Arabidopsis thaliana: one gene and its partners. The protein of the gene in region 1 interacts with the protein of each later gene in a pairwise test. Each region holds a gene or a part of one and is shown in the gene's direction. Other genes may lie near its edges.

Region 1 (5,133 bases):
TATTTCTATCCGGTTTCAATTATGCAATTGTTGAAAAAATGTTATTCCTGTTCCGCATGTAATGGATACTTATTAATATGCGATAATCTTTAGGCACATATGTTATTGTCATAGTACAAGAGGAGCATGTGAAGAAGCTGCAACATTTTGGTGTTCACATCCAAAGTATCTGTCGGTGTCAAAGAACCAATTTGTTTTAGTCATTGTTGTAAAACGGACCTACATTCGTAGTCGTTACCCCTAAATTTTAAACAAATTTTATGTTTAGTATTGTCATACGTCAATGCAAATGAGTTGTATAATCTTTCAATATTGTCTTCTAATTTTATTTTATTTTCTGATAAGTACCATTTTATTTATGAAGATAACGACTGTACAGAGAATTCCCACCACAAGCTCAAGCTGCAAGACCAAACTTACCCGAAGACAACCTGTTACAGAGACACGCTAGCTCGTAACACTAGATAGAAAGGAAATCTTACCCAGCTCAAAGATTAAGTCTGAAGCACACCTAACCCAAAACTGTTGACACCATCTTGATTATGTCCATATATGAACTTAGGTCTCAAAACAACAACTATTTATTTGATAAATGTTGATATACTCTATTGCTTAAAGGAGAGTCCAACTTCGAGTGGTGACCGGAAGGTTTCGCCGTTGCCTTTTCTTTTTTGCCGTTAACGTTGGTTTGGTAGTCTTAGTAGAATCTTCTCACAATCTTGATTTTTGCATATCAAATCTGTTAGAATATGACATTCCCTTATTTTGGACATGATCAAATATGTGATCGAAACCCAACTTGCGCTTCCAACAATGTAGATAATCTTCATGTGAAATAGCGAATATTATTTGGTCTTTTGTATGTATTAGAAAATGACAATGGATCTATATTGTGTAATTAAATACACACATACATGTGTATATATTAGACTCAAGTTGTTGTTCAACTCTTGAAATCATATGATATTGAAGAGTCTTCAAAGTTCAAAGTATTATGTTCTCATTTTGCAAGTTGCGATAAATAATTCAATAAAAATGATTTTTTCCCTTGGCGCGATCGTCTACGACATTTTGTTTTAAATTCTTTTTTGGTACTCTTTGGCATTGCCTCTTATTCAAATAAAATTCAACGCTCGACTTCATTGAACAAAACGATTAAAAGATTTTATTATTATTATTGTTATAGAAATAATATTTAACTGAGCAAGTAACAAAATTCATATTAGGACTAAACAGAAATCGTTAACCTTTTACCAACATACAAAACCACAAATTCTAATATTAATTACACTCAGTTTTTGTAATTAAAAACAGAAAAGAAAATTAGGCCTATGAAGTATGAACGCTATAATATCCTTTAGCAAAGAGGGAAAAAAAACGCAAATCATGCATGAAATAAGGTTGGTACCGCCAAGATTCCGACACGTGTTGACATCCTAAACGCACATAACAATACTTCACGTGTCCTTAAACTTTGTCGGGGATAAGTAATTGACACCATTCATCGATAAATATCCACTCACAAGTCGTACTGTTGCTAATGGATCCCACATATTAAATTCGTATTAGCCATCGCAGCCGACGCGAGACTTAACTCCGTCAGAACTCCGTTAGACTATAGCGTTTGCAAATGCCCTCATTTACGCCCTTTAATAACGAATATCCTAACCACCACTAAACGAATTACCTCAGAAGGGTAAATTAGTATTTAACAGAAACTCTTGGGACCCGAATGAATTAAATGGGTTAACGCCTTTATGTAATGTCGCCGTCAACTTACAACAGTTTCTTCACGGCTTGTGCAATGAAAACGTGCCGGAACTTGTAACGAACATTGTAGTTTGATTTTTGTAATCAACCATAGGAATAAATCATTTTTTCCGCATATAATTTATTTCCCTATTTCTATTCGTGACAAAACATTTGAGGATATAGGAAATTAATAGCCTATAATATGTTTGACCATAAAAAGAATTTCTTCTTCTTGAACCATCATAAGAAAAATGTGTGTTTAGTCTATTGATCAGTTTTGTGTTCAAAAAAAAAAAAAAAATGTCTATCGATCAGTTAGGTGTAAAAAAAAAAGTTACAAAACTCGTGACAAAAACATTCTATATTGGACACACATCACTGTCACTTCAGACTAAATAAAAAAAAAGAACACGTTATTTCGTTTTCTTTATTTATTCGGGAGAGGTTAAAAGCCACAGAAACTTATTGGCTAGAATTGGTTATTTATAACAACAACACATGAGCAAAAAGCTCAAAACATCTACATACTCTTTGGAATCCTCGATTTTTTGTACGTGTAAAGAAGTCACACAAGAAAATCTTGGGTTGTTGTAATCTTCATCACACTAGTATGTCAACGGGACAAGCGCCGGAGAAGTCCAATTTTTCTCAGAGATGTAGTCTGCTCAGCCGGTACTTGAAGGAGAAGGGAAGTTTTGGGAATATTAATATGGGGTTGGCTCGAAAATCCGATCTTGAACTCGCCGGAAAATTCGATCTCAAAGGTATTTATTTATTTTTCCCTATCTATTCCGACGGCCGCCGCCTATAAAGACCAAAGTTTATATCATATACTTTTAGTATCCTGCTTCGTTGATTATTAGCATAAAGTTTAACTATATATTTTTTTTGTTGAAATGCAAAATTTTAAATCATTTTTTTCTTTTCTTTTCTTTAAACTTAAGCATGGTATTATTTTGGACAGCTTAAGTATATTAAAGTTAGAGATTCTGTGAAGTTTTTTAAAAAACGTAATAAACATGTAATTTGATTTTGATAAATTTTAATCGGTTTGCAATTTCTGTTCTAATTTGTTTTAGGACAACAAAATGTGATTAAGAAGGTAGAGACCTCAGAAACTAGACCGTTCAAGTTGATTCAGAAGTTTTCTATTGGTGAGGCCTCTACTTCTACCGAAGACAAAGCCATATATATTGATCTCAGGTACTGTACACACAAACTTCATATGTATTCGAACTCCTAAAGTGTTTGTTTTCACATTTTGTAGCAATTGAATTAGAGAAAGAACTACCGGTTATAGATGTATGGACTATGGAGTTTGACTAATTGTAAAAATGGGTTTGATTTGATTTTAGTGAACCGGCAAAAGTAGCACCGGAGTCTGGAAATTCACAGTTGACCATATTCTTTGGAGGAAAAGTTATGGTTTTCAACGAGTTTCCTGAAGACAAAGCTAAGGAGATAATGGAAGTAGCTAAAGAAGCGAATCATGTTGCTGTTGATTCTAAGAACAGTCAGAGTCACATGAATCTTGACAAAAGCAACGTGGTGATTCCCGATCTTAACGAGCCAACGAGTTCCGGGAACAATGAAGATCAAGAAACTGGGCAGCAACATCAGGTTGTGGAACGCATTGCAAGAAGAGCTTCTCTTCATCGATTCTTTGCTAAACGAAAAGACAGGTAAACTAAACTCCGAAACTGTTTTGTGCTTGGTTATGCTTTTTCTAGGCCGCTCGTCAAAATGTATGCATAGATTAGGATCAAAGTTTCTTAAAAAAGTTATATGTAAAAATAGCTAATAATTACCATATTAAGACTTATTCGAGTTATTCTAGGAATCCCACATCGGATTAGAAGCGTATTACCAATCAAGTTTAAGTTGAACATTCATGAAATTGAACATAGGGTGGTCCTAGTATGTTTATGAATTATGATTCCTAGAGTAAGATTTCGAGATGTGACTCAAGTGTCATCATTTATAAAGAACATGTAAAAAATCTTACAAGTTACAATGAAATTCGAGATGGGACCTAGAGTAGTATATAAGAGATATGAGTCCATCATCTATGTGTCCTTGATCTAGGAAAATTATTAGTAAAATGTCGAGAAATTTCTAGTTAAAAAACACTAACTAAGAGTTCTTTGTAAATCAAAACTTCAATATCTACTTTGTCTTAAATGTTGATTAATTGTTTTGATTTCAGGGCTGTGGCTAGAGCTCCATATCAAGTGAACCAACACGGTAGTCATCTTCCTCCCAAGCCAGAGATGGTTGCTCCATCGATAAAGTCAGGCCAATCGTCGCAACACATTGCAACTCCTCCAAAACCAAAGGCCCATAACCATATGCCGATGGAGGTGGACAAGAAAGAAGGACAATCTTCCAAAAACCTTGAACTCAAGCTTTAGGGCGTATAAAATGCACGATCGAGTTCACGTTTCTAGTTTTCACTTATTTAGGATTTGAACCCAAATACCCTTTTATATTTTCTTCCATTACTTTTGACCAATTTAAGTTATTTATAGTACTGTATTACGTAGCTAGTATTTATATTTCAAAACATACATATTTTGATACTTGTTTTTTAGATTCTTTAATTAAAATTGTCATCTGGATTACCCTTTATCGAAATTTTTTAATCACCTGATATAATCTCACCAGTGATGGATTTGCGTTGTTAGTAATTTTTCTAAGTGGCAAAAGTATATTAACCTATAATAGGTTTCAAAGATATACATATAATGTTTCTATCAAAGATATTAGTATAATATTTTACCACATGATCGAAATCTCACCAGTTATGGATTTGCATTGAATGTTCTAGCGATTGGGCTGGACCGTCTCAGGAACCCAACCTTAATGAAAAAACATCGTCTCATTGATTTTAGGTCGTTAAGTCTGTTTTGCCCTTGTCTTATCCCGTAATTACGAAATTAGCCTTCTACCATTTCCTCTGTCTGCTTCTCTCTTGCCGTTTTCTAAAACCCTAAAAATTTCTGTTGAACCCCAAACATTGAAGTTTATCTTTCTTTTTCATTGTTCGATCTCAAAGCACAGAGATTGCTTAAACCTAACTGTCTCAGTTCTTTTAAAAACAGTCATCTCTCACAAAACTCTCTTAACCCTCTTCATATGCTTTGAGAAAAAATGTCAAAGATAAAGCCTTTGAGTAAATCATCGCAGGACTTGAGTCTTCTCACATCTGATATCGCATCATTCGCTTCTTCTATTGGCTTAGCTTCTGCTCTTCCTTCTTCGGGTTTCAACGACACTGATTTCCGAAAACCAGCTAAATCCAAAACCCAGAAACGGAAAAAGCCTAAGAAGGATCAGCAACACAAGGATGAAGATGAAGAAGGAGAGCCAAAATCGAACATT
Region 2 (5,197 bases), on another chromosome or scaffold:
ATTTATTTTGTTCTTTTTTATTATTTTTGCACACTTTTTTTTTTTTTTGCTCGCATAAAATAAACAAATTTTAAAAATATATATATAGTATTAAAAAAGAAGCTGATATGGAAAAGTCATAAACAATAAATAAAACTTTAACCAAAAGAAGAATAAAATTTTTGAACGTTAGTATCCGTTGTATAAAAGTGTATATATTAAGTTCCAACTGTATTTTTTTCTCATATCTATTTATTTATTTTTCCTTTTTATTATATGTGTCGTTTTAAAGTTTTTGTTTTACTCTTCTGTAATGTATTATACAGAAATAACATAATTATAAATAAGCTGGATTTTACCAATTATTTAATATAAAACGGAAAGGGTATGTTGTTGAAGATACTTGATGTTTTAAAATTTGAAGTTGTTGTAGTCATTGTTAAGGGTCGGCTGATGAGTCAGGACAACTCATTGAAACCATTTATTCGATGTTTCAAATATTAAACAAATAGACAGAAGATTCTACTATCTTCTTCAAAAATATAATATTAAACACAAGTCTTTGTTTCTTTGCTAGCTCTAGTTACAGAAATTTTGAATTAAAGCTATGAAAATAACTTTACGTTTAGTAAATTGCTAAAATATTCAGAGCGATCAGAAAGGAATGTTTGCTCTCTCATCTTAAAATTATATATTTGAGGTGATGCTTCTTCACCAACATGGGCAGATGGGCTTATGGAACCATTTGCTGATTAATTGCAGTCATTGATAACTGTCTGGGTGTGTCATTGTCATCAAAGTGATTGTTCAAGGAAAACATGTTTGGGACGAAATTGATTCCCAATCATGTTTAGCAATTGGGCCAGTCAATTCCCCCGATAATCTAGACCTAAAAGCCCAAACCAATGTAAGCAATACTGGTGTAGGAATACTTGTAAGAAGATTTGATATGACTCCTACTAGAACCATAATGTGGATGGACTGTTGAAGTAGCATAGTAATTACTAGCCAAAACATCCATGGGAAAAAAAATAAAGTACAAATATAAATTTTGATTTTTTTTTTTTTTATAAATAGAACAAAACTAAACATGTGAATAGGCCATATCTCTTAAATTCCTAACAAATTAGCATAATATATTCACGGAAATGCGTTACAAACCGTATTATAGAATAAAACTCCACTTTTTACTGTGAATTACTATAACAAAAAAGAAAGAATACACATTTGTAAAATTCACTTATTTGTTACCACATAAGATTTATATTTTTCCAAAAGTAAATTATCCATAAAACCTTTAATTTGTTTTTTTGACAATAAAAGATGAAGAAAATAAAATTTAATTAATTTGCGTACTACATAACTGGAAATAAAAATATCACATCTGATTTACTGCTATTCTTCTCTAAATTAAAAACTTCAAAATCCATTACTTAAATAATTAATTCATAAAAAAAATATTTGCAATATTAATTGACGGTTAGTTGATGTCATAAAAATAATATAATGGCACTAAATTCTATACAGAAACAGAAATAAACCAATTATGAGATACTCTACTTTAATGTATAGTTTGAAAAACAAAAAAAAATCCCCAGCTACGTTCAAAACCTAACGAGAGAGCATTAAATTAGACAGCAGTGTTGTACTAGATTCGCAACAACATCAATACGTCACTTAAATTAAAATAAAATACGAAAACATTAAATTAAAATAAATTTTAGAAAAAGTAATTAAAACGAAGGTTACTTATTATAGTGGGGAGATTAAGCTTTTTGAGTAAATTCCTATCTACAAAATACACGCTTCTATTAAAAAAAATAGAAGCCCAACGACCACACAAAAACAAATTAATTAAATCATAAAAACTCATAAATTAAAATAAAAAGCAATAAATCCAAAAAAAAAAAAAGGAAACTCCGAAAACGAGACAGCATCAGAAATTATCGCCATAAATAGCCCCCACGTCTCTCTCTCTCTCTTCTCCAAAGTCTTCTTCTTCTTCTTCTTCTTCTTCCTCTTCTTCCTCTCTGCTTTGTCTCTCTCCTTCTTCAAAGTCAAAATTCAACAGGTATTTATATTTATAAACTTTCCTTTTTTTCTTTAATCTCTTTCTCGGGAGCCTCTCTCGTATATTCTCGCACGTGCACATCTCGTGCCACCTGGGTTTGGGGGGATTCGTCTTTCGAATTCGATCGATTTCGTTTTTTTTTTTAGATCTGTCTTTCCTTTTTTGGGGTGTGAAGAAGATGTTTTCTTTTATAAAACCCTAATTCTCTCTTTGTGTCTTTGTGTTTGATTAGTGGTTCATGAGTGGTATTGTGATCGATCTGTTACTTTCGGAGAGCGAGCAATAAGAAGAGGATATGTCGTCACTCAGCAGAGAACTCGTGTTTTTAATACTTCAGTTTCTCGATGAAGAGAAATTCAAAGATACTGTTCACAGGTAATTTATATTATATCATTGTTTAATTGCGGTCCCTCTTCCTTTGATTGTCGGGATTAGAGTAAAGTAGGGATTAAGATTAATTAATTTTGATTTTGTAATTTAGCATTATTTCTTCAATGTTAATCCAGAAGCAGTTACAACTTTGGATATTTTTTTTGACTAATTAGGTTGGAGAAAGAGTCTGGTTTTTTCTTCAACATGAGGTACTTTGAAGATAGTGTAACAGCTGGTGAATGGGATGATGTAGAGAAGTATCTTTCTGGATTCACTAAAGTTGATGATAATAGATACTCTATGAAAATATTTTTCGAGATTCGGAAGCAGAAGTACCTTGAAGCACTTGACAAGTAAAGTTTCACTTGTGTTGTTTAGTTTTATTGAATTGAAGTGTGGTTTTGAGTATTGATTTGTTTTCCCATCTTTTGTTTTACCATAGGAAAGATCATGCCAAGGCGGTTGATATTCTTGTTAAGGAGTTGAAAGTGTTCTCGACATTCAACGAAGAGCTTTTTAAGGAGATTACCATGCTTTTAACCTTGACTAACTTCAGGTACATTCTTTACTTTCTTAGCACTTTTTTTTTATGGTTTCATTGACCACTGGATTGTTATAAACCATGCGCTTGTGGTGTTGATGTTTCATTTACTTGCAATAATTCAAGGGAAAATGAGCAGCTTTCCAAGTATGGAGATACTAAGTCCGCAAGAGGTATCATGCTTGGGGAACTTAAAAAACTGATTGAAGCAAATCCTCTCTTCCGAGACAAACTTCAATTTCCCAGTTTGAAGAATTCTAGATTGAGAACCTTAATAAATCAAAGGTACAAGCTTTGTTTTTTTAACTTTTGCTCCCGTTTTTCTTTTGGTGGAACAACTAACTGAACGTTGCTTCTGCTGAATCATAGTTTGAACTGGCAACATCAGCTTTGCAAGAATCCTAGGCCTAACCCGGATATAAAAACACTATTTGTTGACCATACGTGTGGGCATCCCAATGGTGCACACACTCCTTCCCCTACAACTAATCATTTAATGGGTTCAGTCCCTAAAGTTGGAGGCTTCCCACCATTAGGTGCTCACGGTGTAAGTTGCTCTAAGATTACAGCTTCTGTTGGATTAGTTTTTAGCACATGAATTTAACTTTGCTAGTTTGTATGCTCTTGTTCAGCCATTTCAGCCAACACCAGCTCCTCTTACAACATCTCTTGCAGGATGGATGCCTAATCCATCGGTACAACACCCTACTGTTTCCGCTGGGCCTATCGGCTTAGGTGCCCCCAACAGTGCTGGTAATGTTGTCCCTACTAATTTTATTCTTCTGAAATATGTGTGTTGGAGATTTAGTTTACCAAATATTAGCTTATACGGTTATGTAATTTGCCATCCCTTGTTTAGATCATCATTAGTTGGATGGTTATCTGTGCTTCTTTGACTGACTGAACTGCATGAAATGATATAAATATATTTACTGAGTTACATTTTCCAGAGCTGTAGTGGTAAACTGTCTCTCTTTTCTTTTACGGACTAAAGCAGTTTTTAGTGGTAAACTGTCTCTATGGTGGATTAGAGAGAGAGAGAGAACTATATGCTCATATCAGCCGTTTTGTTTAATTTCACAATACTCTTGTTTATAGATAATAGATAGAGAAGCAAACATTTAATTTAATGTCAGATAGCCTTGAAGTGCTGTCTTAGGTCTGAAACTTTTATTTATTTCATTTTTTGTAGTCCATAACGTGGAGATCAGTTTGTGTGTGTTTACCAATTGCATAGCTTACCATAATCTATTTATTCTTCTTTTTTTCCTTGCAGTGTCTATGTTAAAGCGTGAGCGTCCCAGGAGTCCTCCAACTAATAGCCTATCAATGGATTATCAGACGGCAGATTCTGAAAGTGTGTTGAAGAGACCCAGACCTTTTGGTATTTCAGATGGGGTATTAACGGCTGCTTGTTCGTTTTTCAGCTTAAGTTCTCAACTTTTCTTAGAAGTCACAACTTTCTTTGAACATTTTACAGGTTAATAATCTTCCAGTCAATGTCTTGCCAGTCACATATCCAGGGCAAAGCCATGCTCATGCAACTTATTCTACTGATGACTTGCCCAAAAACGTTAGCAGGATTTTGAGTCAGGGTTCTGCCATTAAGAGCATGGATTTTCATCCAGTACAGCAAACTATGCTCCTTGGTTGGTTTTCTCCTCTGAAGCACGCATCATTCTTCTGTTTTATTCTGGTTTATGCCAGAGAAACCTGCAAAACTTGTATCAGACAGCATAACTTTCATCTTCTCAGTACAATCTGCTTACTTTATCTTGGATTTACATTTGTTTCCTAGTTGGCACCAATCTTGGTGATATTGCAATATGGGAGGTGGGTAGCAGGGAGAAGCTCGTTTCTAGAAGCTTTAAAGTTTGGGATCTTGCTACTTGCACTGTGAACCTTCAGGTATAGTTCCTCTTTATTGATCTACTGTAACAGTCGAATGAGGTGGGAGATTTGTTGTTAGTTAGTTAAAACTATACAGAGGATTTTCTTCTCTTTTTAGTGAGGAACATATCAAGGTTAATAGCTAGTTTTCTGAGATAGATTACTCATAAAAGCTTTCAATATTGCCACGTACTATATCAAGGACATCTTTATCTTTTGCTGACCCGTTGTCTGATTTCATTCTTGTTCATTAGGCTTCACTTGCTAGCGAGTATACTGCAGCAGTAAACCGAGTTGTTTGGAGTCCTGATGGAGGTCTACTGGGTAAGCCATTCTATGATCTT
Region 3 (8,037 bases), on another chromosome or scaffold:
CTTCATATTAAAAATAGAGTCATTTGGAAATATTATTAATAAAACTATTTATAAAATTAAATAGTACAGAATTTATAAAATGTAATATCATATAATTTATCCATATATGGCACGCATTCTTACCTAGTTTATCCTTAAATTATCAAGAAAAAAACAAATTTAAAAATATTTTCTACATTTATGTTAATAAGTAAATTTTACTTAAGTTAGGAAACATAGTATCAAATTTCTTATTTTACTTAAGTTAGGTTTTGAAGAATTAACCTCGATTTGTATCTATCGTGTTTTTAAAAAATGAAAATTGACATTTATCCTTAAATTTATAAGATATATTTGTAAATTGTATTGTTCTCATTAGTATACCCTAATCACTTTTCTATCTCTCTATAAATACCTGTAAATCTCATTCTAAAATAAAGTCAATACATTTAGCCTCTATATGGTACCAAAGCTTACAATTCTAAATGGTATAAAGAATATATATGATATATTGTGAAAATGTTGGTGCCACTTACCTCGGTACCAATCCGGTTTTCTATTCTCGAATGAACCATATATATAGCACTTAATTCAAGCTGGAATGCTTCAGATTACTCATGTCTCCATTGGTGATCAGTTAGCAAATACATTCACTAAATCTTTAGCGAAATCAATATTTCAAAAAAAAAGTTCCAAAATTAGAGCTACACGAGTACTTCCATACTAAAAGGACGTATAAAGAATATACATGTAAACCATATTGTTATATCCTAATCATTTTTTTCTATCTCTTAAATACTTGTAAATCTTAATTCTAATAAAGTTAATGTATTCGGCCTCTATAAAATTTTATTTTATATATACTTAATAAGTTATTTTCATACTCCATATGTTTCTTTTATTTGATTTTCTAGAAAAAAAATGTTTCAAAAAGATTAATTTTATAGGTTTTCAATACAATACTTATTAGTTATAATTGATAAATTGTAAACTTCAATAAAAATTATTGAATATTATTGGTTTAAAGTTATTAAAAATTTTAAATTATAAAAAATAGTACATTTAAAAAACAAGATTTAATATGTCTTTTTTTAATATTTATGTTTTTCCTAAAAAATCAAATAAAAAGAAATATTAAAAATATTATTTTCCTTTTTTTATTATTTTTCTTTTCAAATATCTATTTTCTAAATCCATATTATGTTTTTCTTTTATAAATAATCTCATTTCGCCATGGAGAACACGAGTAATTCTCCTGGTGTATGCCTAAAAAAAAAAGCAAAGATTATAATATGAGTATATATAATTATATATGACGTAACCTGCGAGATGTTGAATTGTCCACATTGTAATTGTCACGAACACTTAATTAAATCTTGCGAAAAAGAGATCTCAAAAATATCGCGAGAAAAAGAAAAAAAGGATAATATGAGAAAAGCCAAACGAAGAGTGCATCGAAAGCTGAGAGCGACATAATAAAGGAGAGAGAAAAATGTGGGGACCAGACTGGACGTGTGCACAGAATATTCACACTATTTGAATTTTGTTTTCGAATCCGCCACTCTATCTCCAAATCAACTTATCACTCAATTTGATAATAACTTAACCTACCTCTCTTATAAGGAAGCCTACTTATCACCGACGAAGACTCCGCTTATATCTGATAAGTCGGTAGAACGATGTCTCTGTGCAAAGAAGAACGCGTCCAAGAAAGCGAGGTCTAAAGTTTCTCAATCCCCCAATCTTCTCCTCCTTCTTTATATATTCTCTCTCTCTCTCTCCATTTTTCTCTAAAAGCTAGAGCTCTTCAAAACCCTAGAAATCCTCGAAATCAGAGTCTTTACCTGGGCTCGTGTCTTCAGAGCTCGGATTCGTGTTTCTTTCGTCGTCTCTCTTCTTCGTTTCTCGTCAGATTTGAGATTCGTTGAGAATGTCGTCGTTGAGTCGAGAGTTGGTGTTTCTGATACTTCAATTTCTGGAGGAAGAGAAATTTAAGGAATCTGTGCACAGGTTAGTCTATTTATATGGTTTGTTTTGTGTTGTGTTGTGAGAGGCTGAATTTTGGGATTGACTGATTTGTAATTTGTTAAATATAGGCTTGAGAAAGAGTCAGGATTCTTCTTCAATACCAAGTATTTTGATGAGAAAGTTCTAGCTGGAGAATGGGATGATGTTGAGACGTATTTGTCAGGTTTTACTAAGGTTGATGATAACAGATACTCTATGAAGATTTTCTTTGAAATTAGGAAGCAGAAGTATCTCGAGGCTCTTGATCGGTATGATTATAAGCTGTCTTATTTGTTTTTTTACTCTTGAAGATTTGTGGTTTTAGAGTTTGATGTTCTCTGTTGTTACAGGCAAGAGAAGGCAAAAGCAGTTGAGATACTAGTGCAAGATTTGAGAGTTTTCTCCACTTTCAATGAGGAGCTTTACAAAGAAATCACTCAACTCTTAACTTTGCAAAACTTTAGGTATGATATATTGAATTTTGATCTCTCCTTGTTGATGTTTCTGTTGTTATGGAAAGTAGGAATATGAGACTTGGTTTAGGTTCAGTCCAAGTCGAGTTCGTGATGCTTTGTAGACTGTTTTTGTTTGGATGTGAAAGAGGGTGTGATACTCGAGTTTCTCTCTCGATTGTTTGCGTTTTGTGGATTGAAATTTGACATCAATGATTTTCATGAATCTGCAGGGAAAATGAGCAGCTTTCAAAATATGGAGACACTAAAACTGCTCGGGGCATAATGCTAGGCGAACTTAAAAAACTAATTGAAGCGAATCCACTTTTTCGTGATAAATTGATGTTCCCTACTTTGAGATCTTCGAGACTGCGGACTCTGATTAATCAAAGGTGTGTTTCTTTTTTCTTTCCTCATGACCATTCTGTATGTTGCAGATGAGGTTTGGATGACTTCGTTGTTGGATGATTCATTGTGCATATGTTCTCTTGCAGCCTCAATTGGCAGCACCAGTTGTGCAAGAATCCTAGGCCAAACCCAGATATTAAAACTCTATTCACAGACCACACTTGCACACTTCCGAATGGTCCTCTCGCACCTTCAGCAGTCAATCAGCCTGTTACTACTTTGACGAAGCCAGCAGCTTATCCGTCACTTGGACCTCATGTTGTAAGAAACCTCGATGTTTGACTGCTTTAATCATGTTTTTTGAATCTAAATTAATCTTAATGTTTGTGGAATCTGTATTACATGTAGCCCTTTCCACCTGGTCCTGCTGCTGCTAATGCTGGTGCTTTAGCTAGTTGGATGGCTGCTGCCTCTGGTGCTTCTGCTGTCCAAGCTGCCGTTGTTACACCTGCCTTGATGCCTCAACCTCAGAATCAAAGTTAGTTTTTGACGATCCTCTAGATTTCTAATCCTCGACTTATCAATAACTATCATTTCAGTTTCCATCAAAAACTTATTATTTTTCTTCCAAAAAGTGTCAATCTTGAAGCGACCAAGAACACCACCAGCAACTCCAGGTATAGTAGATTATCAGAATCCTGATCATGAACTAATGAAGCGTCTCCGCCCTGCTCCATCTGTGGAGGAGGTAACGCGAATTCTTTTCTTTTTCTGGAAAGCTGTTTATATAATTCTTGCATCTTCTCAAAATTCTAAGCATTTATCATTTTCCAGGTGACATATCCTGCTCCTAGGCAGCAAGCTCCATGGTCGCTGGAAGATTTGCCAACAAAGGCAGCTCTGGCGCTGCATCAAGGGTCCACTGTGACAAGCATGGAGTTCTACCCTATGCAAAACACGTTACTTCTTGGTATGGGGGTTTGAAAAAAAGAATACAAATTCTAAACTGTGTTTGAAGTTATATTTCTGTTATCTCTTATTTGGCTTTCTGAATGACCGTTTGAATGCCATCAGTTGGATCTGCGACGGGAGAAATCACATTGTGGGAACTTGCCGCTCGAGAGAGGCTGGTTTCAAGGCCATTCAAGATATGGGATATGTCTAATTGCTCACATCAGTTTCAGGTTTGTCTTTACAGCTAAGAAGTTTTTAGTTTATGTGTTTGATGTATAAAGGCGGAATTCAACCAAATGGCTATGAGAAGTGTTGGAGATAAAACGTATCAGCAAACTAGTTGCTGTGCAAGATTCTTATACTTGCCTTTCTTTTGGCATCATTCAGGCTTTGATAGCTAAAGAAACACCGATATCTGTCACTCGCGTTGCATGGAGTCCGGATGGAAATTTCATTGGTAAGCTTCCCGTCATGCATTGTTGGATTTTAATTGTATGTTGTCTATGGTCTCTGGTCTCAGTCTCTTATTGTGCAGGGGTTGCGTTTACAAAACATCTAATTCAGTTGTACGCTTTCTCTGGACCTAATGATCTTCGCCAACATACTGAGGTAAGCATACTTGTGATCTGTACGAGAAATATTGCGATGTAATAATATCCCACTGAGACTAGATCACTTTTTCACAGATTGATGCCCATGTCGGTGCTGTGAACGACTTGGCTTTCGCCAATCCAAACAGACAACTATGTGTAATTACTTGCGGAGATGATAAATTAATCAAGGTGAGATAAAGAGTCACAAAGTTTCACTGTTAGATATCAATGCAGCTGGCTAACTTGATCAATGTGGAACAGGTATGGGATGTTTCTGGTCGGAAGCATTTTACTTTTGAAGGCCACGACGCTCCAGTTTATTCCATTTGCCCTCATTACAAAGAGAACATTCAGGTGCGGCAAGGATTGAATCAAACTATATTTTACATCAATTATTATACTGTTTTACCAATCCGTTTGAAGAACAATAAAGTAGACGACACATTTCATATAGTATTATCTTGCCTATGAATTTCTGTTCTTTACCAAAATACATCTCGTTCTTATTTGGATTTCAGTTCATATTTTCAACCGCCATAGATGGGAAAATAAAAGCCTGGCTTTATGATAATCTGGGTTCCAGAGTTGACTATGATGCTCCCGGTAAATGGTGTACGAGGATGCTTTACAGTGCTGATGGTACTAGGTAAGATCTTAAACTCATAAACATTTCCCTCTTCTATACCGCTTGTTCTTCACTCCTCAGTTTCCAAAATCTTCAGATTCTTTTGTTTACTCCGGAGGATACTGAGTTGTGTCCTTGAGTTTCTAATCTTATCTTTCTGTTTTAAGTTTACCTTTTCAGTGCTTTCTGATGTTTTTTCCCCCTTCAGATTGTTCTCTTGTGGAACGAGTAAAGATGGAGATTCTTTCCTAGTTGAGTGGAATGAAAGTGAAGGATCAATTAAAAGGACGTATAAAGAGTTTCAGAAAAAGTTGGCAGGTGTGGTTCAGTTCGATACCTCAAAAAACCATTTTCTGGCTGTTGGTGAAGATGGACAAATCAAATTTTGGGATATGAACAACATCAATGTTCTGACTAGCACTGATGCTGAGGGTGGACTTCCGGTAAGTCCCAAAGATTCTTTTTCCCATGGCTTGTTGCTTGGATGTTCGTCTTTTTAGGTTTGCATATAACTTGTCCCAACTTCAGGCTCTTCCCCATTTGAGATTTAACAAGGACGGCAATCTTCTAGCCGTTACTACGGCAGATAACGGATTTAAGATCCTAGCTAATCCAGCTGGTTTCCGATCTCTTCGAGCGATGGAAACTCCAGCTTCTGAAACGATGAGGACTCCAGTTGATTTCAAAGCTGTAATGTTTCTCAACTTTGTATTACATTTTTTCCCTTTTTTACATCCACTGTCATTACAAGCTGTCTCGGTTTACACACTTTGGTATATTCTGTTAGGTTCCTGGTGCTCCTGTTGCGTCTGTCAATTGTAAAGTTGAACGAGGCTCTCCTGTTAGACACTCACAAATGCTGGTAAAATCACTCATTAAATGCTATGTTTCTAGCCATTTCTATAATTTATTATTCTGTTCTGGATTTTCGGTTGTAAATGAAGTGAACTTCCATTTGTCGAAATTGTAGTTTACTATTCTCTGACTATAGTAGTTGACTGTTTCCGATTTTTTTGTCATGTTTAAAAAAAATATTTACTAATCTTTTTTTTCTGAATATCCTCAAGAATGGAGTTGATCCCTCAAAGTCGAGAATCGATGACTCAACAGACAAACCAAAATCTTGGCAATTAGCTGAAATCTTGGACCCTTCCCAGTGTTTCCAAGCTACTTTACCCGATACCGCTGGTTCTTCCACAAAGGTTTGTGCAGTTATCTTTCTCAGAAAGTTGTTGGATTTCTATAAATGTTTTGAAATTGAGGCTTAATTTTCTCATGCTGCGTGGGAAAGCAGGTTGTTCAGCTTCTGTATACGAATTCCGGTGCTGGAATCTTGGCACTAGGTTCCAATGGTATCCAGAGACTCTGGAAGTGGGTTCCCAATGAGCAGAACCCTAGTGGAAAGGTAATCGTAAAAAAGAGTTTGAGAGAGCTTAATGCATGCTGTCTGCGGTTTTAAAGAGTTAGAGATAGCTTAATGCATGCTGTGTGCGGTTTTATTTAAGTACTGTTTATTATGCAGGCAACTGCTACTGTTGTTCCTCAGCATTGGCAACCAAACAGTGGTCTTCTTATGACCAATGATGTGTCTGGTGTAAACCTTGAAAACGCTGCCCCATGCATCGCTCTCTCTAAGAACGACTCATATGTCATGTCTGCTGCTGGAGGAAAAGTCTCGTTGTTCAACATGATGACTTTTAAGGTATATATTATCTATATGAACTTAAAAAAAGCCACAAGATTTCTAACTGAAAATGTTCTCACACTAATCTAGTAAACTCTTTTGGTTGTTCTAATTTCCACAAAAAAACTATTGGCCTTATAGGTGATGACAACATTCATGCCGCCTCCACCAGCATCAACGTTTTTGGCGTTCCATCCTCAGGACAATAACGTCATCGCCATTGGAATGGAAGACTCTACGATTCACATCTATAATGTCCGAGTGGATGAGGTAAGTAGTTTCTAGTACTAACCATTGCCACTTATGTAGTCTTTTTGATCTATGACAAGGAAAAACTTGTGAACCTTACGTTTTTTGAAGAAATGGTTCTCATAGCTTCACATATGTTTTACAGTTTAATTTTCCCCTCACTGCTAATGTTGCCTTAAAACTCTATCAACGATCTGAAACTTGCATATTGTGTTCCATCAGGTCAAATCAAAGCTAAAGGGTCACCAGAAACGCATCACAGGCCTAGCATTTTCTACAGCCCTCAACATCTTGGTTTCATCTGGTGCTGATGCACAGGTGTGTTATGCTGCGTCTTGTTGTTGTTGTTGTTGTCCTGTAGTAAATATATCTCAACTGAAGGGAAAAATGCTTGATTATTTTGTGTTGTTTCCTTGCTGGATTTTCTACCATTAGACTTATCTAATCTAGGAGGATACTTATTCTTCCTGTTGTCTTCTCTTAGATCTGCTTTTGGAGCATTGACACATGGGAGAAGAGGAAATCCGTTGCAATACAAATGCCAGCAGGAAAAGCCGCCAATGGAGACACGCGGGTTCAGTTTCATGTGGATCAGTTGCGTATTCTGGTAGTCCACGAGACACAACTGGCGGTATTTGATGCTTCCAAGATGGAATGTATCCGACAGGTATCTATGACTATGATGAGATCATCTCTGTAAATCCACTTATATAAAATGGATCATCTCTGACCTGGCATGTATATATGAAATGCAAGGTCATATATACATATTCTTAATCATTATTTTGAAATTTGTAATGACTTATGTTCTCTTGTTTTCATGTCTCAGTGGATTCCACAAGACTCGCTGTCTGCTCCTATATCTTCAGCGGTGTACGCATGCAACAGCCAGCTGATCTACACCACTTTCCGCGATGGTAACATTGGAGTATTTGACGCGGACAGTCTCAGATTAAGATGTCGTATCTCTCCATCCGCCTACTTGCCTCAAGGGTAAGTTTATCCAACATTTCATCAGATTCTTATTTCTAAATCACTGTACTTTGTAAGGTTTGGTACATGAATCTGTATAATAGACTTAAATTGACTTCTGAAACATGAGAAATTGGTATATTTTCATAAGCCAAAATAGTTATAAACTCTTCT

What was found.
Region 2: the proteins of JAZ6 (region 1) and WSIP2 interact in a two-hybrid assay, tested with the Arabidopsis thaliana proteins (one study listed by BioGRID).
Region 3: the proteins of JAZ6 (region 1) and TPR3 interact in a two-hybrid assay, tested with the Arabidopsis thaliana proteins (one study listed by BioGRID).

Annotation. Positions count from the first base shown.
Region 1 is NC_003070.9:27,273,366-27,278,498, reverse strand, and holds JAZ6 (jasmonate-zim-domain protein 6), read left to right. Parts: upstream 1-1,936; 5' UTR 1,937-2,362; coding exon 2,363-2,516; intron 2,517-2,831; coding exon 2,832-2,955; intron 2,956-3,107; coding exon 3,108-3,434; coding exon of another isoform or gene 3,435-3,438; exon of another isoform or gene 3,439-3,958; coding exon 3,959-4,163; 3' UTR 4,164-4,531; downstream 4,532-5,133. Other genes in the region: EDA25 (CCAAT-binding factor), read left to right, coding at 4,903-5,133. UniProt on the Arabidopsis thaliana protein: Repressor of jasmonate responses.
Region 2 is NC_003074.8:5,369,018-5,374,214, reverse strand, and holds the start of WSIP2 (WUS-interacting protein 2), read left to right. Parts: upstream 1-1,925; 5' UTR 1,926-2,050; exon of another isoform or gene 2,051-2,282; 5' UTR 2,283-2,345; coding exon 2,346-2,425; intron 2,426-2,595; coding exon 2,596-2,775; intron 2,776-2,864; coding exon 2,865-2,978; intron 2,979-3,089; coding exon 3,090-3,248; intron 3,249-3,332; coding exon 3,333-3,510; intron 3,511-3,595; coding exon 3,596-3,716; intron 3,717-4,239; coding exon 4,240-4,361; intron 4,362-4,443; coding exon 4,444-4,612; intron 4,613-4,761; coding exon 4,762-4,871; intron 4,872-5,107; coding exon 5,108-5,177; intron 5,178-5,197. UniProt on the Arabidopsis thaliana protein: Transcription corepressor of Zinc finger transcription factors GAF1/IDD2 and ENY/IDD1 in regulation of gibberellin homeostasis and signaling.
Region 3 is NC_003076.8:9,509,136-9,517,172, reverse strand, and holds the start of TPR3 (TOPLESS-related 3), read left to right. Parts: upstream 1-1,765; 5' UTR 1,766-1,909; coding exon 1,910-1,989; intron 1,990-2,075; coding exon 2,076-2,255; intron 2,256-2,336; coding exon 2,337-2,450; intron 2,451-2,671; coding exon 2,672-2,830; intron 2,831-2,932; coding exon 2,933-3,107; intron 3,108-3,194; coding exon 3,195-3,324; intron 3,325-3,421; coding exon 3,422-3,534; intron 3,535-3,620; coding exon 3,621-3,756; intron 3,757-3,860; coding exon 3,861-3,970; intron 3,971-4,127; coding exon 4,128-4,349; intron 4,350-4,426; coding exon 4,427-4,522; intron 4,523-4,594; coding exon 4,595-4,687; intron 4,688-4,851; coding exon 4,852-4,979; intron 4,980-5,166; coding exon 5,167-5,401; intron 5,402-5,486; coding exon 5,487-5,648; intron 5,649-5,745; coding exon 5,746-5,820; intron 5,821-6,025; coding exon 6,026-6,160; intron 6,161-6,252; coding exon 6,253-6,363; intron 6,364-6,480; coding exon 6,481-6,660; intron 6,661-6,783; and 8 more. UniProt on the Arabidopsis thaliana protein: Transcriptional corepressor. Negative regulator of jasmonate responses.